Struthio camelus: one gene and its partners. The protein of the gene in region 2 interacts with the protein of the main gene of each other region in a pairwise test. Links are inferred from orthologs where the notes say so. Each region holds a gene or a part of one and is shown on either strand. Other genes may lie near its edges.

Region 1 (7,698 bases), on a different chromosome or scaffold from region 2:
GCAAAAGGTTGAATTAAAACGCCGCTGAATGAGACTGGACTTTTCCCATTAAATTGGTAGGATATTTCTGTTCCACTTTGGTTGAACTGGTAGATAATTCATCTTGTGTCTTTTTCTCAGTTCGTTCTCTGTAAATGGCTTTTTAAAGGTATAAATGTATTTATTACTGGAGAAAAACCTTTCTGTAATGAAACATCAAAGCAAGCACCCTAGTCAGCTGCATTTGGAGCTGTCCTGTCCTGTCAAGGTCATAAACTATCTTCTAATTCTTTAGAAGAGAAAAAGAACGTGAAATACGCATTTCAAAGGATGTTGGTAGTATTGCCCTCTCCTGATCTTTTATAGGGGAAGATGATCTGTCTGAGGGCTGTGGCCTTGCATGTGCTGATCCTGGTAGGAGAGCCTCCCTGGTCTTGCCTGAAAAGCAGCCCAAACCAGCCAGAGAACAGGAGAGAAAGTACTGTAATCTCCATTTTACCCATGGAGAACGGAAGCAAAGAAACCCAGCTGGGAATAACCCACAGACCTCCCCAGTCCTAAGGAAGGATGTAACAGCACAACTTCTTCAATGACTGCAGAAGAAAGAAGCCTTAACGGTCAGGTGGCTAGGTTTTTTTTGGATTTTCCTTTACTAGCAATCAGTTTGCTGCACTCGCTACCTCTCAAAGCAAAGACTTCTGAGTAGGAAGGAGAGAAGGAGGAAAAGTACCTCTCTGAGCTCCCAGCTTTTCTCTGTTCTAGTGGCAGTTGTTTTTCTCCCATCTTCCTTCTGCTCTTCCACACTGCTTTTATTGTTCCTGCGAACATCCATCCCACCCAGGACTCCCGGTTGTGGATGCAGAGAGCATGTTACAGAAGAGTCAGTCTCTCTGAAATGCAAGAGAGACAGGACTTAGGAATCCAGGGGAGTAACTTTGTGCTGCCTAAGCATCTGAGAGGAAATCACATGTGATCAGAGCGCTGCCGTGCAGGCATACAGTTATCATATCTCCAGGTCACAGGGAGGGAATAGTTAAAAGTTGTTACTCATTGTGAGTAACTGTCGTCCGGCTGTTCACAGACACCTGTCGATGAATCAGTGCAATCCAAACACATCACCCACTGCAGTAACACGCATATCATCTCCTATGATCTTCAGAGGCTGCCGCACAGCAGCGATATGATGGGAGACTTGAACAGCTAGGGCAGGCCCTTAGGTTGGAGGTTGAGTCTCTGCCAGGATTGCCCATACTCATAGAAAGCTGACATTTCCCTGTGCCTTCGCTCTGCAAGCAGAGTGGGACAGAGATAACCACGCGCTGCCTGGCCCCAAGGCAGAAATCAAAGGAAAGCAAAACATGATTTTATAAAGGGCTCAGGCTTGCTCGCAATGTGCGTGTTAGACTTGTCCACCTGCTTCAGCCTGAGGAGGAAAATTCCCAGAGCAGAGAGGAGAGCCTCCACGGCAGAGACTCTGGCCTGGGTCTCTAGAGAAGTCTCTTCCTCTGTGTGTCCTCTGGGTGAGGGATACTTACCTGGCCTCCTTGCCTTGCTCGCTCGCTAAGCGTTTTGCCCTTTGTGCCTGGATCTCTTCACAGATGGCAGCATACGACTTATCTGATGGATGCTCACCCATCACCCAGACCCAGACATCATTGTCAGCACCGAGCTTCCATTTCACCGACTTCGCGCTGGCTGGAAGAGAAGGAGCCTTTTCACTAATGCTGTTTGCTTAGCAGCCCCATGCAGGGTCTGTATCCTACATGCTGTGCCCTGGCTGCTGCCACTGGCAGAGCCTTTCCCAAAAACAGCCTTCTGTGGGAAAAAGCAGGGAGGTATCTGTGGACAGGGTCCATCCCTGTTAGAAGCTCCTTTGGGACACAGCATGGACCCTCCCCCCCGTTTCATTTCACAGTGCCGGAGCTAGAGTCGTTCTCTGTCAATAAAGGAGATGTTTCTGAGCCCCAAAGGAAGAGAGGAGATACCGCCATTTCCTTTCTTCCTCTACTTCCTTGCCACTGCCCTCTTCAAATGCCTTGTCCAGGGACTGTGTGAGGCTGGACAACCGGCAAACAGAGCAGGTAGGAGACGGCTGGGGGAAGAGGACTCCTCGGCTCTGCGAGCCAGCATGCTGCGTAATCCTGGCAAGGGGATTTCGGGTCTAAAAGCCTAACAGGCAACCCCCAGCAGATTGGTGCCTCAGCCCAGGCAGTGGCACTCGCCAAGCTCCCGTATGACGCAGGCTTGTTGCTGGCACTCCAGGACAGGCATTCATGTCCGTGGTTATTTTATACACAGATTCAGAGGCTCCGCTCAGTGGGACACTGATGAGATGCATCTCGTGACCCAGGGGACAAATAAGCCATGTCTTCCTGGGAAGGGGAGTTTAGTGGTTCGGTGAAGGACGGTGTGTCTGGGCCTGGGCCAGGGAGTGAAACAAGCTGGATGCCAGGCCAGAAGAACCCCCATAGGAGATGGTTTTAGTTCTAATTTGGGAATATGAGTAATGTGTCCTGGGAGAAGAAATTACTCTGGGGACACATTGCCTCCTCTATCTCGGGATCTTGGTCAGATCTGTGTCCAAGGAGGAAGCAGCTGGCAGGCAAAAACTTACCTTTTCTCAATGGTGGTTTCTTGGCTGGAGCCTTGTCTGCGGCAGCTTCTCTTTCCTTCCACCGTCTGATCTGCTCTTGCCTCATCTTGAAGAAGAGGATCTGCTTCTGCTCCTCACTGAGTTCTGCCAGCAGCTCAGGATCAATGTACATGTCTGATAATATCTGTTTCAGCATGGCTGGAGGTTTCAGTTGCACACGTTTGTGGCGATGAGCTCCAGGGATCAGCTCCTCTTCCTGGCTGCAGTATGGCTGCACTGACAAGAAAGAGTCCGTCCCTGCCTGAGCCTGGAGCAGGAATGCAGGTGTGCCAGGGTAATTATACTTCTATCTGGGTAACTTTTTTTTTTTTAGCTCAGACTTCCTGCACAGACTGAAAAAGTAAATACGAGCTTAAAACCTGCTATTAAGATTCCTTGAAATAACAGGTGACAGACACAGCCTCCGCCTGCTCTGCAGGGACAGCTGGCCAGAAGGGAAGAGTTCTGGAGTCGGTGGGCAGGTTGTATTTATGCCCTGATAAACTGAGCTGATACCGTATCAAAACAGGGAAGAGGGCTGCGTGCTACAGTCATCAGAGGTGTGGCTTGTCCGTGCCCAAGCAAACATTCCTGCTGGGCAGGGGATCAATGGACTCAGGACTAGAGGGCTCCTCCTTCTTCGGAAGAGGAAACGCTGTGAAACAGGGCGGCATGATGTTAAGAAGTTCAGCCGCTCTCTTTAACCAAGGAAAGATTGGGAGGGCTTTTGGCTCTGCTCTTGAGGTGGGAGTCAGGAGTTGCCTGGTGGGAATTTTGGGGTACTCCTGTCCATCAAATGTAGTGTCCCAGCAAGCCCAGGGAAGGTGGATTGCTCAAAGCCAGATAATTAAGATTGTCAGCAGCTGATGAAATGAGGCAGCTCCAGGTCTGACATTTCTTGCTGATGTGCCTTCCCCACATGGCAAACCTGGCATGCGCCATCCACACGTGACAAGCCAAAGAGGCAGGGGAGAAGGAGCACTCCTGTTCCTGCCCAGGATGCCAGGTCACAGCTAGTGCATACAGGTAGGGCACCCGGCACCCAAGCAGATGTGCTTTGTGCCAGTAGATTGACCTGTGCAACAGGGGTTTCTCTGGAAAATTAGGAGCACTCCTGTAACTAGAGGAGCTGCCAAATAGGTAGTGCTGGGGGGATGGGGGGAATGGACTAAAGACCTTGAAACCAACTCTTTTGCATATCTCCTCTGGATAAACTCATGGAAACAAGGAGGTTGTTCAGCAGCGCGTTCAGTGACACTGTTGTCCGACCCTGGCGCTACTGAGGGAGGAGAATGCGGGGTTGGGGGGGAGGTGACGACAGCTATGTTGTAAAGTACAGCTGCAGAAAGAGCTGCAAGGGTGGCTTGCTAGCCAGAGTGAAGGCGAGAGGTTGCAGGCGCTTTCTGAACAAGCTCTTAGGAAATGCAGGTTCACTGATACCCATGGTCTATGGAAGAGGTGTTGGGCAGCTGCAGGCTAGGCGCCCTCTCCGAAATGCTACTGCTGCCACTGGCAGCAGCGGGCAGAAAGGCTGAGTCTCAGTGCCTGAGGAAGAGGAGTTTACAATTGTCAGAAATCGTGGGAACCTGCGGTGGAGAGAGTGGGTGCAGGAAGGGTCAGTGTGGTTGGCCCCGAAAGGGAAGCAGATTGCAGCCTCCTGCCATCACAAGGGCCCTGGGAGGAGACTGTTACACCAGAGGGGCAGGCACATGGCGGGGCAAGCAGTTTGTCCACACTCGCCCGAAGCTGTAGAGGTCAGTGACCCCTCGAACAGGGAGGGCAGAATTTGATGATGGTAAAATAGGAAACGATAAGTGGGAGCAGAGGTTTAGCAGGTTGCATGGAAAATGAAGGCTAGCGGGATTACTCCTGTACTTCTACACAAATCCTGGGAGTTGGGGAAACAAGAAGCATAAAAGGCTTAAGAAGCTTCGAGGCATAGCCCACTAGATGGGAGGAAGGTGGTCAGCAGCACATTAATGTGGAAGTATAAAGTACATGGAGAAGATGGACTGGCCCATGCCAGGGAGAAGTGGCAGTATGCATTCACTACTGGAGTCAAATGAGTTCCCTTTGTTACTGTAAAGGAAATGGCTCCTGGGGATCCCCATGGCAGGTCAAGACAGGAAAAAATGTTGGGAGCACCTTCAGCCTCAGCGCATGATTGCTCTGATTTTTGCCTGGAGTCCTCGTCTGGGAAAGAGGTAGAAGAGCAGGCTAGAGAAGGGTAGGGCAGAGCAGCCAAGGAGGGCAATAATGAAGCTTTCCAAGGAGCACATGCATGCAGCCCATTTAATTAGGGAAAATGAGGCAGTGTGACAGCAAAGCTTCCTCAGTCAGCCAGGCAAGATAACATCTCCTGGGCTTATTCTCACGCTGTCTCACCCCGCCTGCCTTCCCCATTTCACCCCCACACCAGACCAGGCATGCCTGAAGGCAGCGTGCCCTAAAGCTGCGAGAGGTAGAGCACTCAGGCCTTCCTGGGGCACCGCCAAAGCATGCCGGAGACAGAGGAGTTGAGGAGCGCCCAGGGCATGGCAGGCTGGAGTCCTGACGCAGATTTGGCAGGGAGGGCCTGAAATGAGCTGGGAGCAGCTGGGGGAGCTGTAGAGGTGAGACAAGGGGCTGCTCAGGGCCTGAGAGGACAGAGGGGTCCCGAGTGTGAGCACAGCCACTTTCAGACAAAGCCAGAAGTAGGACTCCCTGGGGAGGTGCCCTGAACCAGGCAGGGTAGGGTAAGAGCCTTTTTGTCTCTGTTTTGTGTGTCTGACCAGTTGCTTTACATTTTCCCTCTTTGAAAGGTTAATTTAATTTCAGAAACAGGGAGCTGTTGTTCCAAAGTCGTGTTGCTGTTTAAACAAAATGGCTTGATTGGTTGAAAAAAGGCTCTTTGGGGAGCTCCTTGTGGGAGGTAGTTGTGGCTGGGCAAGGCTCTTGAGTGATCCTCTGATAAGAGAATTGCCCCAGCTCAGCAGCCAAAGAAAAGGGCTCAGGCTGTCCTTGAGCGGGGGGGGGGGGGGGGGGGGGGGGGGGGGGGGGGGGGGATGGCAGGCTGTGGAGAAGGAGCAGCTTTTTGCTGTGGGGGGGAGCTGGGGCGCAGTCCCCTCTTCCTAGGGGCATCTGAGCTGTGTGAAACTGCAAAATTGGGAGCTTGCTGGGAGTTTGCTGTTTAACCTTCACTGCCTTCTGTTCTTAGGCGCTGCCTGGAAAAGAAGCTGTTGTTGGCAAAGAGATGAGGGTATCACAAAAGCACCCTTCAGTCAGGCCTGGGTCCCTTAGGCTTTGGAGTTTTTTCTTAGGATCAGCTGAAGTCAGTTCAGTCTGGAGGACACAAGGTGTGGTGGCTATTTCAGATCAATTCCTGTCCTCCAAACAGAATAGCTCTTGGGAGGGTTGCTCTGGTTTTAGGGGATGTGACAATCTCTTTGTGTTTAGCCCAACACAGCTAGTGCAGGCATTGGCCTTTTGAACAGTAATATGAATCTGAAAAGCTTGTGTGGTGTTTTTATTTCTGTAACCCAAAAGTGCCTTGAGCTGTGAGGCAGCGCACACAGACTAAGAGCTCTTTTGCAGCCAGTATAAAGCAGAGTATAAACAACGCAGAAGCAGTATAAACAGTATAAATCATACACGTAAACAGTATCAAAGCATGGTATTAGAAGAAGAAAGGAAATGAACAGCTATTTGTAACTAAGCTGCAAGGTGGGAAAGAAGCATGGAGTTGGTAGTAGCAGCAGGTGTTTCCATTGGGATAGACTGTCCCTCGCAAATGTTTGTGTGTGAGGGTGTACTTCTGTGTGTGAAGAGTTGGTACCCAGTGGGTGACTGAATAGGTGCAGCATGGGCTTGGCACTCCCCTGCCTGTTTGTCTGCAAGGGCTTGATGTGCGTTTGGGGGAACACGGTTTTTGCCTGCAGTTTTCTAAAGATGCCTAGGCTGAATTGCTGTAAGGTGCAAAGTACAGAAAGGTTCAAAATATTGAAACCTTGGGAGAAGTAGTCAGATCTACGTTCTAGTGGTACAATCCGTGTGCCCTTCTGACAAAACCTGCAGCTACTTTGCTAAGTGGAGAGACCTGCAGTTTCTTTTTAAGAGGAGGATGTTATGGAAACAAGTTTGGAGATGCTTGTCTGAAAAACATCCTAGCAGAAAGAAAAGTTGTTTGATTTCTAAAAAGAAAGATTTGAAAAGAGCTCGCCGCGTCTTTGAGGCATAGTGCGCATTCAGAATACCCAGGGTTCTGGGTATCGGCGATGCCTGTTTCACCATGCCGTATGGATGAAATGCTGTGCTTCTACTCTGAGTTGCTGGTCTGTGTGCAGAGGTCTTCAGTTAAGAGCCTGAGGTGTCTTCTGTTTGGAGAAACAAGTAGGGCTGGGTCTTCAGTGGCTCAAAAACAGTAACTAAAGAGGCTGGTAGCTCTGCACATGGACAAATGTGGTGGTCTGGCAGAGATGCCTTGCCTGGGTCAACAGAAATGAATAGTTGTGATGTGTAAAACTGAAGGGGTTTCTAACAGAAGAGACTTGTTGCCAGCAGGGAGGTGAAACCCTGTTATTCCCTTCAGTTGTGAAGGTATAATTTGTGGTGAGTGTGGGCCAAATGCTGAGTGGTTTGTTAAGCAGAGGGTGTTGACTATGTTTGCCAGGGAGAAAAGCCAGGCAGCTGGGCAGGCCTCTCAGGAGCTCTGTGTTCTGTCTGGCTTGGGAGCAGCAGAACTGCTGTTCTCCAGAAGCTCTAGTGACCTTTGATTCAGGATGGTCCCAGCTCCCTGGCCAGAAGGGGGCTTGGAAAGAGGATGGCCCAAAATGGGCCCGAGAGGATGTCCTTGCTGTGACTGAGCAGAGGTTCTGTGCAGCTCTGGCTGGTGGGATTGGCTGCAGCGGACTGGAAGTGCAGGCCCCTAGCTCGTTTCCCCTGCTGGTGGTCATCGGTCCTGCATTCTGCCTCTTCATACAGCAGTAAGCAGCTTGAATCCCCGTTGTCTTTGTGTGGGCCCTTCTCCCTGTTTGGCTGCCTGGGAGCTGTTTGACACACGGCAGTTTGGTTTCTCTTGCAGAGCTGAAAGTTGCAGTGAGCCAAGCTGC
Region 2 (7,356 bases):
TGGGCATTGAGAGTAAATCATTCAGAGGGTAGCTAACCTAGCTGAAGGTTTTTCTGTCTGAGTCCAATTAATATACACGTGAAATCCAACTGACAGCAACTTTACTGTCTTGCTTTCCTTTTATTTATTTATTTATTTATTTTCTTCCAGGATAGAAAGATCAACAGACCAGGTTATCAAGCCTGTGAACATGGAGGCATTATCTAAATGGATCGGACATATCCCAGGGGATGTGCTGCAAGACATGGCCCACATAGCGCCGATGCTTGCCAGGCTCGGCTACGACCCGTACGCCAATCCACCCAACTACGGCAACCCGGACCCTTTAGTTGTCAACAACACGCACAGGGTGAGTGTCGCTGCCATCCGGCTGGAGCGTGGCCAGGCGGTTACGGGAAGGGTGGGCTGACGCTGGAACAGAGACCTCCCTGTGCAGGCACTGTGCCCGCAGAGCCCTCTGCAGGAGAAGAGGTTGCTGAATTGAATCAAAAAAGAGCACTGGAGACACAAAAGCTCTCTTCCTTTGGGGAGACTATGACTGATAGATGGACATGCAGTACACAGAGGTTACTTTAAAACGGAGATGAATGCGGTAGCTTGAGACTAGGGTGGCTCAGACTAATGATGTTCCCTATGGTTTTGTGGCGGTGTTCATTTCGTCTGTTGTGGCAGATACCGGCCTGTCCCTCCCTGATCCAGCCCAGTTCTTGGTACCAGGCATGGGAAGTGTACTGTGTTATCTAGATGCAGAGCTGTTTGCTCTAGAAGCTCCCATCTGGCCGCAGAGAAGGGGTTAGGTTGTGCTGTGTCCGTGTGTAGCTCACCAGCCGCTCCCCACAGTCCCAGGAGGAATGCGAGTGAGTGGAGGCTTGTAATGCATTTGAGCAAAGACCAAAAGGATTTTTTTCAGAATACTGACACATGTTTCTGCCACAGACAGCAGTTACTAGACGGAGGGAATTTTTCTCACGCTTTGAAGCAGACCGGACTGCGGCTGGACTCGGCAGCCTCCCCAGCCTTGCACGCACACCCAGTGACAGTGCTCTTGGACCAGATGTCCTCTGTCACACTGATGGGCGTGGAGGAACGCCTGCAGGCTGGACTGGTCCCTGCTGTGCTATAAGCAGATCCATAGGTCAACAGGAAAGTAAAACCACTAAACTGGAAGCTCAGAACTTCCCTGAGCTGGTTTGCGCTATGAGTATTCTGGTCTCTGACAGTTCCTCCTTGCTCTGTGTGCTTGCTGAGAGCTCTTTAAGGACACAGATGATCTGGATGAATATCTTCCCCCAGCAGGTTTAAGAGACTCTTGGAGTCTTTGACGTGGACCTTCTAGTACTTCTCGGCATGAATTTGGAGCACTGGCATGATGCTGAAGGTCTAAATACTCTCCCCTTCCAGGTTAAGGAGGGATCCAGAGAACCTGCTTTTGTCAGGCCCCTGTGCCGGCAGGATGCCATTCCCTGGCTTTGCTTAAAAAGTCACTAAGGAGGAAATCTCCAGCTATTTCCCCAGCATCAGCATGATGTAGAACAAACGCCCATCAGGAGAGCTCTGCTGGTTTGGATACACTGGGGCAATCCATGCAGTTAATAACGTGGAGTTACTGATATTTTACAGCCACCGTTCAAGAAGGGGTCACTCTAATTTTGTCTTTTCCGTAGGTTTTAAAGGGAGATTATAAAACGCCAGCCAACTTGAAAGGTCACCTTCAGGTAAGAGTCTGATGCCACTTCTCAGGGCTTGGCCCTGTTGGTTAATCCTGGGTGCCTGGTCCCTTGCTTCCTCTCATGGACAGATGCAGGCTGGGCAGCCCAAGTGCAGGGAGAGCTCCCCTCTCTGGTCTCTCCTTCAGCCCATCCTGTATTCCTTTCCTTTGTGCTATGCACCACGCCCATCCTCCGCGTTCTTATTTTTGATATCCTGTCTTGTCCTACAAAATCTTGATGGTATTCTGTGCTCTTCTGCTCCTCAGACCCTGCTTGTTCATCTCCATCACCTCTCCTGGCCTGCTCTTGCTTATGGTTTCTTGCTGTGGAGCTCTGCGTTCACGCATCAGACTTGGGCGCTTTCTTCTGTTACTTTAAAACCCTTGCCACCTTGTTGTCTGACCCTAAACTCTCAAGGCTTTCATTGTCCTGGGCCTTGTCATGTTTAGGGAGGGCATGGCTTATCTAATTTAGAGATTACAAGTATTCCTTCTTGTACTTGTGAGACTGTTTTCAGGTGTCAGAAGTATACGGGGCTCTCCTTACAGTGCTATGTTTGAAAACAATTGGTAACCCGTCTTTTATAATCCAGAGCAATCCAACAGCCATTGCACATAATGACCAAAAAATAAAAGATTTCTCAGTTCTCCAGAAAAGATGCGTGGCCAAGACTTGAAATGAGAAAACAGAGCTGCTGGTGAAGCGAGTGTGCGTGGTTCATGCTGCAGATGCTCTGGGGAAATGAGAGGTCAGGGAGACGCTGCAGGCTCTTGGCAAAGCCTCGTGCCTGCTGATTATCTGTAGCTGCCACAATTTTCTCTGTCCTGAACGTTTCCCTTTCTTGCTTCTTGGAACACTGGGAATGTTCAGAGTTGCAGGTGGTGACAGAAAACTGATCCTTCTACTTTGTTGGTTATTCTAGGTCACTCAGAATACATCATCTTCTCACTAATAAATTAATGATTTCCAGGTAAGTGCTTGTACTTTGGGACTCATGCAAATCTACCTGCATTGCTCCAGAGTTAGTGTTTTGCTTGTATAATTCTTGTGCCCCTTGATTATTTGGGCTGCTCCAGGCATCCTCTTTATGTGAATGATCCTTCACAGTTGCTTTAGGTTTTCAGAACAATACTGCTAACTCTGTGAGGTGGTCTGTGAGAAAATGTTTTTCTGAGCTCTGAAAACAGGCTTACTTCAGCAAAATCAGAATCAGTCATTTGGTAGGCTTATTACTGAATATCCCTGCTGGCAACATGGAAACGGAGCGTGGAAACGTGCAGCTGTGCTGAGCAGCTCCCCCAGTAGCCTGCTAGGATGGGCACTGTCCTCGCCGAAGAGAAGATAAAGCGGTCACGCGTGCTGTCAGTTCGGAAAAAAAACAAAACCGCAACCCTTGATTGTTTCTGCAGAAACAACTGTTCATATCTTGGATCCTTTTCTGTCTCTCTCTTCAGGTAGCATCTATGCTAAACGGTGAATGAAAATTTTCTAAAAATGAACCTTTTAAAATTACTTTATATTTAAAAGCAGGATCTTGTGCTTAAAAAAGCAGAAGCATTGAATAAGGATGGATGATGTATGCCCATTATCTTGGAGCTGGGGCTTAGATAGCTATCTAACAAATTGTTATGTAGCTGCTGGTTTAAAATCATTAGTCATGTATTTGCTGTGTTAAATCTGTCTGTCTTATCCCTAAGACTGTGTTTCTTGTCTTCCAGAATGCTGCAAATGGCCTTTTGTTGTCCAGCAAAGAAGAGTTTGCAATTGCAAAAGTGGAAATCTGTTATCCAAGCATATTGCTTGCTAATAATATTGCCAAAATGACTGCTATACAAGGAATGTACTTGCATTTATTTGCAAAGGCCAAACATTTTCCACTTCAAATACCGGTTGTCTACCTTTTCTGAACGCTCCGTGGTAAAAGAAGCTGTGGAAACAAATATTGCAATCGGACTTTCGACGTGCATTGGAAAGAGATTTTATATTCAATTACTTGAGAACTTTTAAAGGCTGTATTTAAGTGTCTTGTAATGCTGTTCTCTAATTTGCAAATCAGAAATAGGTGTTAATAACCTTGTAGAGCATTGGTTGTACAAGTCTCCTGCCCTTCCTTCACTTGTAATTTACAGAATCTATTTAAGAGTTAATATATGAGGCCGCCTGTCTCGTTCTTGGCCCCTCTGTTTACGGCCGCCGCTGGAGCAGCGCTTCGGCCGAGAAGGCGGCAGCCGGGGCGGGCGGCAGGGCCCGGTGTCCCGGGGGGCGCGGGGGGGCCGGGCGGGACGGGGGGTGTCGGGGATTGGGGGGCGGGGGGTGGGGGGAGGCCCGGCCCCGGTGTCGGCCGCGGCCTGGGCCCGGCACGGTCGGTCCGCCAGACCATAGAGGAGCGGCCGGCGCGCGAGACGGCGGCTTGGCCCGGCCCCGGGCGCGAGAGTCTCTATGGTAGGGGGAGTGGCTCCAGCCGGCGGTCGGGGGCGTGACCCGGAAGGAGAGGGTTCGTTTCCGGGTGGCGCTCTGGGCCGCGGGGCTCGTTTCGCAGCGGCGGGGACCGGAGCGACCGGAGCGGGGCGGGAGGCGGGAGGCGGCGGCTCGGGGGAGGCGGGGGAAGGAGGACCCGGCGGCGGGGCCCGAGGCGGAGCGGAGCGGCTCGGTGGGGGCCCGGCGGCGGGGCTCGGGGCACGGCGCGGTGCGGTGCGGGGCCGTGCGGGGCCCGGCGGCGCCATGTCGATGTCGCACCTGTACGGGACGGACGGGGAGGACGGCGTGGAGATGGAGAGCTTCGAGGTGTCGGACTGGGACCTCCAGAACGAGTTCAACCCGCACCGGCAGCGGCACCGGCAGAGCAAGGAGGAGGCCACCTACGGCGTGTGGGCCGAGCGCGACTCGGACGAGGAGCGGCCCAGCTTCGGCGGCAAGCGGTGCGGGCCGGGGGGGGGCCGGGGGCGCCGGGGCCGGGGCCGGCCGAGGTGCCCGCGCTCAGACTGGGCGCACAGGCCGCGTCCCTCTGCCCAAGGGGCGAGCGTGGCTATTTCCTGGCAGAAAAAGCAATAACGTCATGCTCCAAGTTAGCCAGGAGTTGTTAAGATTTCCTTTCAGGGTGGGATTTAGCAGGACTGTTTCAAGGATTGCGCGGGGACGCGCACGGGTCTGCTGGGACAGAATTCGTGCCGTGAGCACTTACAGAAGCCTTTTTCTAATATATAGTTCTAGGGACTACTCAGCCCCCGTGAACTTCATCAGTGCTGGGCTGAAAAAGTCAGCAGCTGAGGATATGTCAGAGGAAGACTCCGATGAAGACGAAAAGCCTGTTAAGCAAGAAGAAATCCCTAAAGAGTTTGTGCCAAAGAAGTTAAAAACAGTGAGTTATCCAGAAATTTTTTAGTTCTATGTAATCTATTTATGAAACTTAAGCTGTAATAGTATCAAAGTTCTTGAGCCAGTAATAGAGTACTCAAGAAACGGAGAAATAATTGTAAACTAGAGAACTGATAGTGCACGTAGTTAAAGGAGATGTTTTCTATATTTTTTAAAGTTGTACTGATGTAGTGTTGTGTGTCCTTGGGAACGTTGCTCCTTTGTGAGCCCTTTTCGTTAATATTCATTTTGGTCAGTTGAGGTTAAAAATAAAAGAATGCTCGTGTTTTATTTCCTTGTTTCAGTTATTAAAATCCAAAGGTTGATTTATTCCCGCAGAACAATATGATTAGCGTGAGCATGTTATAGATTAAAAACCGAACCGTATTTTAAGCTATCAAATACGGAAAAGATCAGGTAGGAGTTTCAGCTGTAGTCAGCGACAGACTCTAATAATTGTCAGCTTATATGGAAATTTCTTAAGTGGCAGGCTGCTTAAATGGACACAACAGTGGTACTCTCTGCCATCGTGAGGCGGAGAAACAGCAGTACCATGTGGTGATAGCTGAATCTTTTCAGGAGAGTGCCTTCTTTTTGAGTTAACGTATGCAAAGCTTGGTTATTAAATTGCCTTAAAAAGTTTGTTGTTGTTTGTAAATAGGGTGGTAATTTCAAGCCCAGTCAGAAAGGCTTTGTAGGAGGGGCCAAATCTTTCATGGATTTTGGAAGCTGGGAGAGACACACTAAGGGAATTGGGCAGAAGCTTCTCCAGAAGATGGGTTATGTCCCCGGGAGAGGTCTTGGGAAGAACGCTCAAGGTACTGTGATTGCAAGTTTGTTTGTTTTTTGCTGACTCACAAGAATCCAATCTCTCATCTGAATTTTATCTGTGGCTTAAAACCTCATTCTCATTTTCTGACATTTCTAGCAAATGATCTGAATTTTTATGATAAGATTCAATTGCGTTTAACGTACCATAGGCCATTTTTTTGTTTTCGTTATTTTGTATGAGGAGAAGAAGGAAAAAGGAGGGAGATAAAATTTCAAGAGTAGTCAGCTCAGAATGAAAGGAGACGTTATTTTATGCAGTAGAATGAAGAAGCACTGACATACAAATGTGAATAATGCTCTGCATTTGGTCGGTGTCTGCTCAAAAAAAGTAATTCTTGCTAATTTGATAACTCAAGTTACTGTAAGAAAAGCACTTTCAATTCTGTCTGAGTAACTAAACTGTAGTCCTTTCTGATCTAACTACTGTCCTGTTCAGGTATTATCAATCCAATTGAGGCCAAACAAAGAAAAGGCAAAGGAGCTGTAGGGGCATATGGCTCTGAAAGAACCAATCAGTCTTTGCAAGACTTCCCTGTTGTTGACTCAGAAGAAGAAGCTGAAGAGGTATGTGTATGATTCCTGGTATATCTCTTTTCTCATTGTTATGTTGTATTTTATGAAATTCAGGTCTGGTATCAGCTTCTATGTCAGAGAAAACTGTTTAGGCCAGTTTTAGGTAAGAAGCTAAAGACCTAACACCGTTTCATTTAGATGTATTTTTCTTGTCAACGTAACGTTCTCTTCATAAATTCTGGCTCCCTTTATTCTGGTAGTCTTGCTAGGAACCCCCCAGAATAAATCCTCTTTGTCTGGCTAAAATGGTAGAAACATTTGGATGCATTCTTTCTGGTTGTTTTTTGGTTCTTTAACAAAAGGAGAAATATATTGCTACCGTCATGAATAGCATGTTTGGGCGGACCACAGCATCTGAGCTAATTTGTCCCTCAGCTTTACTACTTCCCATGTTGTTTTGCTGTACAGCATTCTTCGTTGGTTAATTTTTTGTAAAAAAAATTAGAGAGACAAATTTGGGTCATGACAGAGAAGCAACCCGCAACTCCTGCTTGTTTTTGTTTAGGAGTTTCAAAAAGAGCTCAGTCAGTGGAGAAAGGATCCTAATGGAGGCAAGAAAAAGCCCAAATACAACTATAAGACAGTAGAAGAATTGAAAGCCAAGGGTAGGATCAGCAAACAGCTTGCAGCGCCTCAAAAGGAGCTGTCTCAAGTCAAGGTAAGGCTGATTTCCCAGAGATGCCATCACTTGGGTTATGATTAGTCCGCGTTAGTACTGTGAGTGCTTTTTAGCCATTGGTAACCTTAATAGAAGACAGTTACAAGAACGAATTGTCCACAGCCTCATGAAAATCAAAGGCCTCAGACTTATCACCAAGTCATTTAACACACTACTGCGTCACCTGGGACCTGGCACTTGTTCACAAGCAACCTTTTGACCTCAGGAAAA
Region 3 (8,060 bases), on a different chromosome or scaffold from region 2:
TTGACCAGTTTGAGCCTTCGAAGTAGATCTTCTTTCTCTTGCACTTGTTTCACCAGCCGTACTTTCTCTTCCAGAGACCGCTGGTGACTAAAATCAGCCCTTAGCATACAAGGATTCTCTGTTGATCCACAGGGAGAGCTTTTCTGTAAAGAACTTTTGAAACGCGCATGACCAGGGCAGTTTCTTTCCAGGCTTTCAGGACTATCTTGTAATCTGGAAAAATCTATATTCTTCTTTGATAGAGAAGCTTCGTCAGAAGCAGCACAGTCTTTTTCTTCAGTGTCTATTCTGAGCCGCTTTGCCACTGTAAAACTAGCATTAAATGAACGTCTTGTTTTTCTTAATCGTTCCCTCAGAGCTGCACTCATTGGCTAAAGATAATAAAAGAACAACAAAAAAAAGGAGAAAGATTGTTCTGATTTCTCAGAATAACCTTATCTTTGATTCATATCCTGTTTATTATTTACATAGAATACATCACATGTAGGTCACTGTAAAGCCTAACTTCCTAATTGTTGCTATAGTTTTCACAAACTTGAACAAAGTTAACCGTTTCCTTTCATGTGTGCTTGCACACATAGCTGCAAGATATGGGAAAGCTGTGCCTCCAAATTTTCAAGGACCACGTGCTGTAATCCTTATTAAGACAAACTTACTTGTCAAAGTCTCAGTACAGAAGACACAGGGCACATTTCAGCTTGGTTAATTCTGTTCTGTTTTGTTCTACTTCCCCCATAGTTTCAATTACATAAGGATTTTTTTTGTAATATAAGCCATAGTCAATTTGACAGCATCAACATGTTAAGTTGTGTGTTAAGACAAACATCAAAGTAGAGCTAGACACTATAGAGAATATACAAACTGAAAGCACAGTGCATCGAGTTCTTTATGCAAAGCGTGTTCCATATTCAGAGCTAAATAAATAAAAAACATGCATATGAAGCTGCATAGGAAACTTAAAAACTGCTCAGGATGTCACAAGCCACAAAAGAGAAGGCTATTAAAATAAGACCAAGACTAACATTGCTAGACAAACACATGGGAGAGTCTATATTGGAGTCTTTTAAAAACAACATAGAGCAAGAGTCAGATGATTTATTTTCTTTGCTCAAGCGCAAGCAGAAGTCACAGGAAGTAATTCTGCATGCACAGGAACCCAGAAGATTGATTCGAGGAAGCTAAAGACAAAATTAAAAAAGGAGGTTTAAAAAAATAAAAATAAATTACATTATTAAATTTATTAGCATTTACATGGCATTTTGGGTATACTGCTACATCATTTTGCATTCGTAACAGACTTTCATATTTAGAGCAAAGTATACCAAAAGCACTTCTTACCTGGACAACCTTGCAATTACAGTTATAAGCTACTTATAACTTTAGCCTTCCAGTGAACAGTTCCTCAGTGACTACTTGACGATTTCTAAGTATTTTTGTCACTCATAAGTCACGTTAATGGAAACAAGTTAAGTTTTCGTACCCGTTTCCCTGAACTAGTGCTCTGTGGAGCTGCTGTCCCAGAATCCTTTGGAGTACTGCACAGAGATGTCGATTTAGCAAACCCTGGTTCTTCCATCTTCAGATAGAAAGCAATTTCTGTTAAAAGAAACATTAAATTATGCACGGTGCCATTTTTACCTAATTATAATGGGCCACATGGCTGCGGGGATGAGTAAAAAGCCCTGAGAAGAAATAGTACAGCTTACCATCTGTTACGTTCAAAAAGACATCTGCCGATGTTCTACAAACATTTCTTTTGCTAAGAACCATTTTGGATTGTGAACAGCTTTACTTCAAGAGGATGAATAGCAGTACTACCAGCTACAAAGCATCTTACTGTGAATTTTGTTTATTACATCTCCTTCGTTCATAAAGTGCTACAACATGTATTCCTTAAAATAAATATTACTAAAAGTGTATAGTTATTCTTCAGTGTTAGCTTTTTTCCACCTATAACATTGGTGAGCCCTTTCAAGTGTTAAAAATGAGCAAGATTTATGAAGCACCTAGGCCCATTATAATATGCCTATAAATCCTAAGGTCAGATCCTGCAACATCAAACTTATCAACAAAAAGCTCACTTCAAACAAACTCTATTTTCTTCTTAACCTGAATGACCCTTACTGCTTGTCTAACTCACAGGAGTAATCCTTAGTAAGCCAGGTTGTGAAGAATCACTCCTTCCATTTAGCTGCATCCCAAGTAGAGATAAAAGAATTGCTGGGAGCCATGAGATTTTTATTGTCTGTCTACATAAACAACTAATCTTTAAAGAAAAGAGTGCCCATGTCTGTGAAAATAATCTACTGTCTTATTTGACCCTTTTGGGGGAAGCTACTTGAAAAAGTAATTACTCACACAAGTGGAATTTTAGATTAAAACTAAGCCTCCCCAGTTTACTCAGAGAAGCACCCTAATTAAAATGATAAGTCATACCTTCTCAGCATGTATCAACTTTAAATTGATTTGGCAGTGTTTAAGTGAGTTTAGCACTTGTGAACACCTGCTAGTGACCAGCATGCAACTGGAAAATTGTCAGCTATACCTCCCTGTACCTGGAAATTGCAATTAGGGGTTTTGAAACAGAAGCCTCTTGAAAATAAAAACCTGTAAACAAGTTGCCAGGCAACACAAGACTGGCACAAAGGGCTTCCTCTTCAGGAATGGAACCAATCAAAGCTTCAGTACACCAAAGCTTTACTAACCCTGCCACTCAGGTCCTCCAGGCTCTGTAACAAGGGCATGAGTCCTCATTCATCTTGCAAGTCAACATTCCCCCTAGCTGTTCAAAATTCAACATACGGTTTTTCATTAAAAAAGAAAAACTTTATGTAGGAACAAAAGTCTGATACAAAAGTATCTTGGCAATCTGCGCATTAAAGAGGAAGCCCACAGCACCTGTCAAACATAATGTAAGTTATCACTATTATTTCTCAGTCTGAGCAAGAGGCCCTGAAAAAGCTACATCATGCCTATGTAGTACATCACAAGTATGTAATAAATCTCTTACTACCAAGCAACAAACCTGAGAGCTAGCTTCAACATTTGTTCAACTCTTTCCAGGAAAAAAAAGAAAATCCTGTGACTCACTGCCTTTACATTCTAATGCGGAGTATTTGTCTTGAAACGACCATGAATACAAAGATTTTTCAAGGGTTCACTAACACTGTAACTGTCTCTAGAGTAACATGTTCACAATTCTCTCCTGCACTATTAAAAGCCTTCCCAAGTATCTCAGCCTAAGAATCCTTTGCATTTTCAAGTAGTAATGCTATTAATCACACAGAAAAATAACTCTGTCCACTAAGTAAGGAAAAGTTGGACCAGAAGTGCAAAAGACAATTTTGCACTCCAGTACTTACTTCTTCGGGGCTTTGGACAACTCCCCGACGCTAGGTGCCTCAGTTTTCCTGCTTACGGCTGCGCTGTGTAACAGCACTCACTCCGTTTACATTTTCCTCCGATAAACCGAGGGCTGCAGTGACCCTCCGCCACTGTCATGCCTGGCTAGTTTTCCACCCCTCGAGTAGGCAGGAAGAAGGCTGGGCAGCCCTGTGCAGGGTCACAGCCCCTCAGAGCTCCTTCTGAGACCACACCCCCCCCCCCGATGCGTAACCAGGACACCGAGGAGGGCCCAGAGGCAGCGCAGAAAGGGGGCGCAGCCCGCCGAGAGGCCACGGTCCAAGCCAGAGGCTGCTCGCAGGCCGCGGAGGGGCGGGAGGCCCCTCACGGAGCGCGGGGCACGCTGTGGCCGAAGCAGCCCTCTGAGAGCCAGCGCAGCCAACCCCCGGGGTGCCACCGACCCCGCCAGCCCGGGGGGGGAGGGGGGCAGCGTCCCGCCCACGCTAGGGGAACCCGGCACCCCGCCGACCTGAGGGGACCCCCGCAAGCCGCCAGCACCTCACCCGCCGCCGCGACCAACGGCCGCCGACCCCTCAGCGTGCCAGGCGCCTGCGCACCCACCCCCAAGGGCCGCCCGCCAGCAGCCGCTTCAATTTCCCGCTTCCGGAGAAAAGGGGCGGGGCCAGGGGGATCTTCGCAGCGCGCCTGCGCCGCTGTGGCCGGCGGGTGGGGCTCCGCGCGCCGGGCAAAGCGGCGCGGGCGGGCGCGCGAAGGTGGCAGTGGGACGGGCGAGCGGGCGGGCAGAAAGGAAGGAAGGAAGGAAGGAAGGAAGGAAACGAAAGAACAAAGCGTGGTTGCCGTCGCTGCCGAGATGGGGCCGAGCTTGTGGAGCCCCAGGCTCAGGGCACCTTTGAGGATCCCCCACACTCCTCCATTGCAGTGGAGCATGCAGCACCAGCCTGCTGCGGCTGTGTGGTGTTACGGCCAGACCTTGCCCAAGGCCTGGCGCCATCTTGGTGGAGGTCGTGCTTGCACAGCCGGTCCACTCGGTGCCGCCAAGAGGGGTTGCCACCCGCTGCCCCGAGCTGCGCCTTCCCCTCAGCTGCCGTCTCCTCACAGAAGGGGGGAAGCTGTCCTGGGGGAAGGCACTGGGAGGAGGGCAAGCCAAGGGGGTTCGGAAATCCAGGCTTCAAATGTAAGGGACAGCGAAAGAGCTGAAAAAGAAATGACTGGAAAAACAGACGGGATGGCCGCAGGGAGCGGCCCCGTGCGGGAGCAGCCCGAGCCACGGGTGCGCTTATGGGGCGCAGCGCTGGACCAGAGGCCCCTGGCGCTCAAAGGCGCTGCTGACCAAGCGTAATTCTCAAATCAGCCTTCTCAGCCAAATCCCCTGCCATGCTGCGGGCCAGTTCTCCCTGTGTGGATTTACATTTCTCAAGACTGATCTGTCTAAAGAAGGCTTTTCCGGTATAACTTTCAGAGCTGAGGAAAAACAGCTGAAGTAGCCGTAAGGGCTGTATTTCCCAGTCTGCCGCCAGCAGATGGATGATGTATCCGTGGTCCCTCCGGCACTGCCCGCAGCTGGACTGCATGATGAGTCCTCACCCAGCGCGTACCGATTGCTGTGCGTGGAGTGTACAGACTTGCGAGTCTCATCAGATCATGCCCTTAATTTGCATGGCAGAACTGCATTACTTTCCTGCCTGATTCCTCTTCGCAACCACAGATGAGGACGCTGCATTTATCCATTGCCTTGCATAACTTCCATCTGTATTGAGACAGGATACACTTTTGCCTGGAGAGGTGAGTAAGCACAGTGGAGTGTAGGCATGACAATATGGTGGTAGTTGCCATGCTTTTGACCATAAGTACGCGTAGATTCAGTCACTGTGATGATAGCAACCTTTCTCTCGCCTAACACCTACAGTAAAAAGCATCCAAGCGTTCACAGACAATCTATAATGAGTCGATTTGGGAAACCTTTGGGCTTTTGCATTATTCCTTGAGTATCACTTGACTATCTATGGGTGGCATGGATGTAGAAATAATGTTCTCAGTAGCAAATGGGGGAAGTTACGTTATACGACCAAGCTGTGTGATTAGTTATCTAGCAGAAAAACTCAGATGATAACTATTGCTTGAAGGAATTCTGAGGCATTTGTTAAATCCCAATGTGACATATCCCTTTTGTTTAATACCTGCAACTAATTTCATGTTGTAAATCTTTTTTTAAAAAATGGTATGTCAGAACAGCGCTACTCAATACAACAGTAACAGTTTTAATAGAACTCCTACTCCACATTTACAAGTGAGCTGGATTTCAGATGCACAGCAGCTTTGAGACAGCATGTCTCCAAGTTCAAAACATGTTTCTTTCTGTCTCAGTGATGGTTCCTTTTAAAAATTAGTCATGCTGTGTTGCACAGACATGCTAGTGGTTGAGTTGCACAAGAGCAACAGAAAGTTTGAGATTTCAGATCTTTTGCCAGCTGAGACTCCAGGAAGGTTTTACAGGAACGTAACACATGAAAAAGTAGATACACAGAACAGTCACCCTGTGTGTTATCATTGTTATTTTATTGCAGTAACACCCACATGCCCCACCCCAGGTGAAGATTCCAGCGTGTCTGAAACTGTGAATGTAGAAAGACAGTTCCACACATCGGGTTTATAAGCTGTATGTGCTACACAAAGAGGAGAAGAGGAAATATTATCAGTTGTATTCACCAATGCATAATCACTCTTGGAAAAGATCCTGTTTCAGGTTGGTATTCAGTATTTACCTGTGTTTACCAAGTTTACCTATGTAGTCCTGTGAAAACATGCGACTTGCCCAAGATCAGATCTGGCAGGAGGTCCCTGACACAGCTGGGAACTAAACTGTAATCTCTTTACGAGTTCCTGTCCAGCCCTTTTATTGCAAAAACCCAACAGAGATGGATATTATGTTATCCAACACTTCATGATTGCAAGCAAGAATTAGACTAAACCCATCCTCTCAAAAAGTACATCTGTTTCCCCTGAGGAAAAAGAGACGCTCCATATATTATCAATATTGGCATATTTATGGCACACTGTGTAACGTTTCTCATATTGTTTGATTACTTTTTATTCCTTTTGCGACCAGAATAGTTTTATTTAAGCAAAATAAGAGAAAAAAAGTCTTTATAGGAAATTGTTCACTGAGTGATAAAATTACTGAGATCTATTTGCAGAACATACCCTTTGAACCTGGCAGAGAAACTTGTCTCCCTAAAGAACAAGGAGGAAAATGTGCTTCCTAGTTTTGTTTTCTGTACGCTTTGGTGCTTCTATGATTACACTTCAATGATTAGATTTTTTTTTCAGTTTACACCAGTTTAACGGCAGACAATTTGTCCCAGGACTTGACTGCACAAGTGAAAAATATTCTTTATATAAGGTCTCTCTCTTTAATCTTACATTACCAGAAAAGCACTAGAGTTCAGATATCAACACTGACAGGACAAGAATATTTTCTAGTCCACTGTGAGCATCATCTGTAGTAGCAAAGCCAGCATAAGTAGATCGTAATAATAAAGGATACTGACTCTGGGTCTAGAGATTCCAGTTTGACCTTTATGTGTTCTGTTCCTTCAGTGCACCAGAAGCATCATAAAACTTCCATTTAACCTCTTGCTAGACACAAAGGCTAGGGCTTTTCTCACTACACATTTGCAATGAGTAATGGAGATGTTAGTCAACATACTAAATCTTAAGGCACATATGCATTGCCCACTTCTCCCATTTTTCTGAAATCTGTTGATCTTGTTTCGAGCCAAATGATGTATCCTGACGCATGAAGCACACTCTGCACGGTCTACATAATCTCCTTTGCCTGAGGCAGGAGGGTGGAGTGTTTTTATGTGCCCAACCACTAACTGCTGCAGAAATTTCCAAAGTGCTACCCACTTCAGCTTGGGCCTAGGGCTGTGTTTTTGCTGGCTGCAAAGTTCTGAATAATATTTGCTTCTCAGAAAGTGTTCTGACTTGTTTATAGCATGTAAATATATCAAAGGAAGGGCTTTATAGACCAGATTCATAGAGTAAACCAGTTTAGGCTACATCAGAACTTGACCTTAGGAGACAGAGTCTGCTCTCATAATTATGTAAATGGCCAATAAATACTTTGAAGTCACTGGAATTACATCAGCATAAAACTAAAACAAAAGTAAAATTTAATTTTCCTGCCTTGCGTCTGGAGCTTGCTTAGACTTTCCCTCATTTTTTTACTTCGATTTTCCAGGTCTTCTAAAGAAAAACTGACAATTTATTGCAGCTGAGAGGTGCTGCATTTTCCCATTACAAAGGATAACGTAAGAGCCAGCTAAGAGGGGCTTCCTAGTTTTCACTGCTGCATGTGAGAACACCGAAGTGGGTGAGGCGCAGTGCTAATAACAGGGAACAACAGAAGACTGTCTTTATTTTTATGTCTAGTTGTGGGGTTTTCTCTGATACAGTCATGCAAAAATTACAGAGGTGTTTGAAGTCTTTACAAGACTGTAGCAGACAGCGAAAGGAAACAATAAACATACCTTCAGGGTTCTCATTTTTGGTGGAGAACTGATTGATCGTTATTTTAAGAAAATTCAAACCTGTTTAATCTCAGCCCCTTGCCCAAACTAATCTCTGATACAACTTTTGTCATCTATGATGGTCTGAGCGTATTTTTGTGTTAAAGATGCATGGTAGATGTTGCT
Region 4 (7,349 bases), on a different chromosome or scaffold from region 2:
TCGTATAGTTTTAATCATCAAGACCTGTGGGGCTTGGCTGAATTTCTGCAAAGCAGCTGTTTCTTAAGAGTGTTGTGCTGTTTAGGATAGCTTTGCAGGGGGGATATCTTGAAGAAACTGTAAATATTATAGATAACATTTAACATTTTATTTAGTAACAGATAAGAGCAATCTTAAACACAATAAAAGTTCAGTGTAGCCTCTTCCCAAGGAATGTGAGAGACCTCACAGAGACTGAGTTTAGTTGCTATCCAGTTCTTGGTGTCCTTGCTGATACTGCCGAGAAATTCAGATTTTATGATGAACAGAAAGTGCATTCACAAGACAGGCCATCTGATGGCCACTGTTTGGGTCCCTGGTGTGTACACTAAATCTGGAGCACATTCTAGGAACAAGGATTTAAAAGGCAAACTATACATATATGTATACCAGGATGTGCACCTGTTTTACTATTGCTACATTATTACTACAGATTTAATAAAGGCTTATATTCAGTGGAATACTAGCCATATAACTCTGGAGTATTGCTGCAGTAAATAAAGCAAAAGTTGTTATGTAAAAGGTCAATAGCATCAATAGCTACATGAAAAATAGAATAAAAGGATAGCATCAACCTTGAACGTCATCTTTCTCTGGCTTTTCTTTGCTCGCTTGACATGAAATTTCTGCTTTGGGTTGATTTTGTTCTTCATCAGGTGGAGTTGTAGCAGAGAATGGAGTAATCCTGCTTACAGCTTCCAACAGCTCTCTTTCTGCTGTGTAGTGTGGGTCCTGGTCCATTGCAAAGCTACCACTGAAAGATTACAGTAAGTATGACATGTCTTAATAGCAGGCCTTTAGTGGATCCGGTCTGGTAATTTTCTTCTTTATTTACTTACTCATCGATCTCTGTGAACAGATTTCAGGGCATCTATAGTTTCTTTCATGAAAACTAGAGTAATAAATAGAATTATCTACCTAGCTAGTAGTGAAAAACTATGACTATTGCCACTGAAAGTGTGTGGAAGTCTTTTTGTCAGATCAAAATAAAATGTGGAAACTATAAGGAGAAGTTATGGTAAATAAAATTACGTGGGGAACCCTGACTCCATTTTTGTGTGAGATTTTTGTCAGAAACTTCAGTGGAGACAGATTTTTGCTCCTTGTATTTTGCCCTCAATCTTGAAATAATAGTATGGATGAACTCAAATGCTGGAAATAGTTAGTATAACTAGCAGTTTGACTCTCTCATATTGTTAGAATTTACTCTTCTTAAGACTCCAGAATTTGGCATCTGTTCTTAGCTACTATGTTGGCCTGTAGGGCAAAACAAGGTGATATCTAAAATAATACTTTTGTCATATTTCTATTTCATTTTCCCTCCAGAAACTTGTCTCTGATCTGTGAGAACAAAACAACTGAATCTCACAACGACTAGGTAGAAGGAAAACTGAGTCGTCTAATTATTATACAGAAGCTTCTCTTGACTTTCTCTTTTTTCATCCATACGCTGTGCTTGTGACAGATTCATATGTCTGTCCTATGCTAGGACTTCTATTTTATTTTATGTTCATAAAATGCCTAATGCAATATAGCCCATAGATTGGATTGGCCATTCTGCCACATACCCGTCTCCCCAGGACGGATTTTTTTTCTAATAACTGATTACAACTAGTATAACTGATTATGTTATACTAGCAGTTGAAAAAGTTTTAAGAGCATCTTAAAAACTTTGCCAGTGTGACAGAGAAACTTTGCTCGGAATTCAGCCAACAGGGGAGAAAATCAAATAACATAAAAAACTATTTTAAAACATTCTAATCTTCTTTGCACATATGTAAAGATAATGCCGAAGGAGAGGTTATTAGGTAACGAATAAGCTTAGGACAAGGGTGTTACTACATATCACTTTGCTTCCTATTGTCTGCTTAACAATTATGCAATGCTGGATACAGAGGTGAAGCAATTCCTTCGGGTGACCTATTGTTTTCTAGAAAACTGCAAAGCTATAAAGAGAAAAGCACTTGCTTTCCCCTCTGGAAATAATGGAGGTGCAAATCACGTTCCTCTAACACCTTTCCTTTGCCTGGCTTGGATAAGCAATGTACACAAGTCCCCTCCTCTTTAGCAGGAGCATCCTGGTAGCCCTCATGTTTGGACTTTGGACTAGGTCTCCCAGGAGGTGGAAGTCCTCCCTGCTCTTCTAGCCTTCCTTAACATCTGCTTTTTGGACATGAGAGTCGATAGTTACTTAATTTCCAGCGGTTCAGACCTTTTCATAATCATGACAGTTTATCCCATGGCTATAAACTTGAAAAATACTTTTTTTTAAATGATAAGTGAAGGTTATCTCGATTATACCAGGCTAAATAAGGAATCTGAAAATGGTCAAATAATTTAAATGAGAACTTCTCTGTGGGTAAAGAACTTTTCTTTACATAAGCAAAATTATACTTATGTTCAAGATACATATCTTTATAAATATGTCTTATCCTTTGTAGATATAAAATTAGATATATAGTTTATATATTTTATAAGTATATAATATACATTGTTTATCTATGTGTAAATACGGCTTAAAAACATAATTTACCACAGAAGTACAACACGACTGTAAACCAAAGGATGCAGAAGTCAATGGTATGACATACAAGTCTTCATGTATCTGCCTTGCGAAGTGTCTATACGTTATATCAACATTTAGTTTCATTTTCACATCTAAAAGTCATTGTAAGCTGTTTTAACTAAGCTACTATTTATTCCTACCCTTAAAAAAAATCCAAAACAGTACAAAGAAACCCGCAACAAATTGTACAGTTATACTTTGAAGAGGCATTCAGCCTGCTCTTTTTGAGGGTAAACGCCTCTCAAAGTGCTTCCCCGCTTCCCGGAGCTATAGGTGACGTCGGAAACTGCCGCACACAACATACTGACCTGGGAAGTTCGGAAGAGGTTTCAGCTGTGGCGCATTTTGCAGTCTGCATAGATCCACGGAGGGCCTGCTTCTCGTTTTCAAAACGCAGAAAAATATGTCTGTGTTTCCTTGTGGCGGGCGCGTTCTGCGCTTTACAAAAAGGAAGGAAGAAGTCTTGATTAAATCAGGCTTCCTCGTCCAATTGGCTTGCTGTTTCAGCGGCGACCGATTGCGCACGAAATTTCCTACCGGCCGTGAACGGTTCTTGCGCGAGCGAGAGGAGGCAGCTGCTCGGGCCGGGGCGCCAGCGGTGCGGCACGCGCAGGCACAAAACGGGGCCGGGCAAAGAGTTCGACAGGAATTACAGAGCCGGCGGGAACTCCTCCACGCGGATTATCAGAAACCAAAAAAAACACAATTAGCAAAGGAGAGATGAGGAAGAAAAGAACCCAACGTGTACATGTGTTTCTGTGGGAAAGCAGGCCCTGTAGGATATCTTTAAAATGTAGACTTACCATCCAGTTCAGGAGAAAAAATGCAGGTACAACCACAGCAAGCAGCCTCATTCTATGCACGCTTACATATTTGACAGCAGTCCTGACTCTATACCGTGCTTAAGCGTATGATTAATTCACACTATCTGCTTGCTTAAAGTTCAGAACGGAGCGTTATTATGTCTGACATGACCGCTAAACTTGAAATGGAGTTATGTGTGTGCCTAAAATTAATTCCAGGCTTAAATCCCTTGTTGAACTGAAGACAAAGTGAAGAAAAATGACACATTAATCCACATATCCAGTGCCTGGAGGCTTCCTTCTGCGGTTTACTTCACTTTGGAAGATGGCTTAAAGTATCGGGATAGCTATTTTTTGGTAGATAATACAGACGCTATCTTTTATCGTGAAGTCAGTTTCCCAGTTGCCGAAGCTCACTCACTGGAAAACCGGGAGATTTTAATGCAGCACAAATGTGAGGGGCATTCATCCAAAGGAGCACATGGATCCTGCCCACACATTCCTTTGACACAAACAAGTTCAAATAATGTAAAATCGGGGCCATTAACTGGCAATGCCTCTCTTCAGCTTTATTCACAGCATAAAACATTGCCAATTCAAACTTGGACTCAGTCTAAATGTAGAAGTTTTGCCAAAACAGCTGTCAGAATGATGAAAAGTCACTCTTCTACAGCCACAGCCATACTGGCAAGACCCCTCGTGTAGACGCTGTTATACTGGCAGAGTGCTTTAGCCAGAATAGCATGTTCCACTCGGGAAATGGGTTTAAGTCATACCAGAAAAAAATTCTTTTGCTAGTGTGAGATGTGTCTCCACAAATGTGTGTTTGCCAATACAGCTCCAAGGTGTAGGTATACCAGCCAACCCTTTTAAGTGTAGACAAGGCATGGGTTTCTGGCTCGAGATCCTTTCCTTTAAAGTTAGATTTATGTTTTTGGTTACATTCGTGAACAAAATCCAAGGGGGATTTCACTCATGCTGACAGTTCACAGATGTATCCAAGCTTTTTATTTTGAATCTGCTAATTTATGTACAGCCAAAAAGCAATATATTATTTTGTTATGCTTAGTGCTGTTGTCCTACCCTTGATACAGCTGAAGGAAAAAGGAAAGTATATTTTTCAGTATGCTGAGCACAAACTTTATGGTCAATTATTTCAGAGGTAATTCCTGGTTAAATTAACTTGCATGAGTAAAAAGATGAGAAATCTCTTATGGCTGACTGATATAAATTTAATTTACAGAGCAAGGGTGTTCTGCAAGAATCCTGACCGCCTCAGTAGAACCAGCTGTTGCAGCCACAGCCCGTTGTTAGAAAACACCCACGGGACTATTGCTAAACTCATTCCCAAGAGCCATGACATCCGTAGTGGTTTTACGAGGCTGCTGCTCCTCAGCCTCCTCCCACGTGCCCAGGTCTGGTCCAGACAGCCCTTCACTGGGACCAACCGTTGTTAGTCCGGCAGCACTTTACTATTCTAAATGTCTACTGGATTAGCACGTTCAAAAAAGTCAACAGTATACAGTGGTGCTTGCTAGCAGAATGCAGAACTAATATCTTTCTCTTTATATCCTCAGTTTTACTTCCAACAGTCAAATACAGCATATGCAAAGGATTAAACAGTAGAAAAGGGGAATTTTTACAAAGACAGCATAACATTCTGCGGGATGAAGAAGTGCACTTACAGCGTCAGTTCATCTGACTACTCATAAAACTATGGTAAATTTTAATGGAAAAGCATGTTCTGTCACATTCGCTGAAGGAAAGCACTGACCTTATCTGGCACACAGAAAAAATGCACAGTATTAAAATGCATTCACCAAGCAATATGGAAAGAATGCTCTGCTGCAACATCGGAGCTAGGCGAGGTTGAAACCATAACATTTCAGTGCATAAAAATAGTTGTCATAGGAGTTTTGCTGGGTCCTCCTTGCCAATTTAGGATGGAAGTACTCACTTTAGGAAAGTCTGTTTTAGGAAGAGTGACCCGAAAGTTTATTTCTAACACTTGGTAATCAGCCACCACATGAGCTAGTCTTGCGATGCTATATCAAGGATGCCTATATCAAAAGACCATGTATGAGCTTTTGATGGGTTAAAGGCCAGAAGGGACTGCAGTAGAATACCCTGTCTTGATTTATACCTGATTTTTACTGTTCAGTTATACTCTATGCTTGATTTATACTCTGACAAAAAAATCCACAGCAATGTTCGAGAAATTATCCAGATAGATAATTCTGCTTCCGGTTATCTTTTTTTTGCCTATTTTCTGTGGGGACTACAATAATATAAATCTGACTTGGGCAACACGTTAACATTTTACAGATTACACAAACCCAAAGAGCCACAATATTTAATCATAGAATACAAAGTTGGTATTATCTTAAAAAATGTGAGAGAAACCAGTGCTATATGTAAACTGCAGTTTACTGACAGATTTTTACCATTGTAATGGGCACAGCAAGCTCCTGTCCTGGTGAAAGACAGAAGATTAACAGATAAGTAACGTAAGTGTTACTTATGTTAGTTAGAGTATCATGTCTCAGCTGTGGTTGTAATATGCTTTTTATAAAAAACTCTGCAGCTTCTGCCCCAATAAATACAGCTTCAAGTGACCTAGTAGGGTTTGCGCTGCTTTTCCCTCTCAGGCACCAAACTATGTAACTAATACTTTTTTATTTTATCTCATCATTTGTTGGAACTGTGGATGATGAGGAAAAACAAGAGGAGGCAGAAATACCTATTTGTCCAAGTCCTCTTTTATCAATAGCTAATATTTAGAAAGTACTGTAATGTTGTCTTTGATGCTTCTACAAGAACTTTTCCTCTCATTTTTAATGCAGCTGGATAAATAGCTACTATTTCCATGTTTGAAGTAGCAGAAAAATTCAGCTGTTCTTCATGAATATTCTGCACTTTTGGGATGATGTTGTGATAAATGAATATCATACTACTATCCTGACACAGCACAAAAGTATGTTCAATGTTATCTATATAATGTTTAATTGTAGAATGTTGTGTCATTTGAAAGTGGAATTTGTTTACCATTCTTCCATTACTAGAAAAGACGTTTATCAAGAGTGTGGTCTAAAAAAATAATTTGCAGTTTAATGGCAAATATCTCCTTGTGTTGGTGTTACAGACAGGGTTTTCAACATGAAAGAAACATAACAGGTCCATTTTACACTGCCAAAGCCCTGTTATCACTTTACAATTCCTTTATACTTCTAAAGGAGTATGAAGGAGCTTTAGCATAAATAACAGCCTTGGCCCTTCTTTCATCTGTGGTCTGTCAGTGACACAGAGCTGTAATGCAAGCCCAACGGGTCAATAGCATATTAACTCAGGTTAAATTTTACAAGCATTATTCTGCTGATAGAATAGCAGATTTTCTAAATGGTATATGCTGAAATAATAGAGGGTTAAATACATAATAACATAGACTAGGGAAATACTTTTAAAATATTTGTTTTAGGGCTACTAGGTATAGCATACCTATTCATTCCTAGCTAAAATTTTTATATGTTATTCTTATAACTTGCCTGTCCACCTTTCTTCTTGAATATGATAATAGTATACTTAGGCCAGTATTTGTATGCCAAGTTCCATGTGTAATGTATTTATACCTGGAATACAAACATCGTGAAATTTGGGAAAACAGGATTTACAGCAGACATACTGATGCATTTTGTAGCAGTATTAAAGGCAGCTCTACAAACAGAGGAAAATGCAGCTGCTTTGTATAGATAGCCACCTTGAGGATTAGCGGAGTATAACTGTGTTTTATTGTGTGCCCTTCTGCAAAACAAAGGGAATGTAATGCATAAATCATAGTATCTTTTCAGTGCTATTTATTCTTTAAAAATTAAGTATGACTTTAAAATGGAATTCTACTCTTAAGTGACTAAATAAAATGATTAACATGATTAATATGAATTTAT

Evidence for each region.
Region 1: the proteins of TFIP11 (region 2) and SH2D4A interact in binary tests that used the Homo sapiens proteins (3 or more experiments, as listed by UniProt). The two-hybrid records come from large-scale screens. The link is inferred for Struthio camelus from reciprocal best matches to the Homo sapiens genes TFIP11 and SH2D4A.
Region 3: the proteins of TFIP11 (region 2) and SFR1 interact in binary tests that used the Homo sapiens proteins (3 or more experiments, as listed by UniProt). The two-hybrid records come from large-scale screens. The link is inferred for Struthio camelus from reciprocal best matches to the Homo sapiens genes TFIP11 and SFR1.
Region 4: the proteins of TFIP11 (region 2) and SNX20 interact in binary tests that used the Homo sapiens proteins (3 or more experiments, as listed by UniProt). The two-hybrid records come from large-scale screens. The link is inferred for Struthio camelus from reciprocal best matches to the Homo sapiens genes TFIP11 and SNX20.

The regions. Positions count from the first base shown.
Region 1 is NC_090945.1:5,625,151-5,632,848, forward strand, and holds the start of SH2D4A (SH2 domain-containing protein 4A), read right to left. Parts: upstream 3,186-7,698; 5' UTR 2,769-3,185; coding exon 2,594-2,768; intron 1,675-2,593; coding exon 1,515-1,674; intron 870-1,514; coding exon 710-869; intron 73-709; exon of another isoform or gene 1-72. UniProt on the Homo sapiens protein: Inhibits estrogen-induced cell proliferation by competing with PLCG for binding to ESR1, blocking the effect of estrogen on PLCG and repressing estrogen-induced proliferation. May play a role in T-cell development and function.
Region 2 is NC_090958.1:19,921,503-19,928,858, reverse strand, and holds the start of TFIP11 (tuftelin-interacting protein 11), read left to right. Parts: upstream 1-4,341; 5' UTR 4,342-4,430; coding exon 4,431-4,627; intron 4,628-4,913; coding exon 4,914-5,067; intron 5,068-5,724; coding exon 5,725-5,881; intron 5,882-6,330; coding exon 6,331-6,458; intron 6,459-6,972; coding exon 6,973-7,125; intron 7,126-7,356. Other genes in the region: TPST2 (protein-tyrosine sulfotransferase 2), read left to right, coding at 151-349, 1,665-1,715, 2,632-2,661. UniProt on the Homo sapiens protein: Involved in pre-mRNA splicing, specifically in spliceosome disassembly during late-stage splicing events. Intron turnover seems to proceed through reactions in two lariat-intron associated complexes termed Intron Large (IL) and Intron Small (IS).
Region 3 is NC_090948.1:14,480,074-14,488,133, forward strand, and holds the start of SFR1 (swi5-dependent recombination DNA repair protein 1 homolog), read right to left. Parts: upstream 3,117-8,060; 5' UTR 2,755-3,116; coding exon 2,706-2,754; intron 1,597-2,705; coding exon 1,481-1,596; intron 372-1,480; coding exon 1-371. UniProt on the Homo sapiens protein: Component of the SWI5-SFR1 complex, a complex required for double-strand break repair via homologous recombination. Acts as a transcriptional modulator for ESR1.
Region 4 is NC_090951.1:17,360,890-17,368,238, forward strand, and holds the start of SNX20 (sorting nexin-20), read right to left. Parts: upstream 3,075-7,349; 5' UTR 2,964-3,074; coding exon 2,914-2,963; intron 794-2,913; coding exon 615-793; intron 1-614.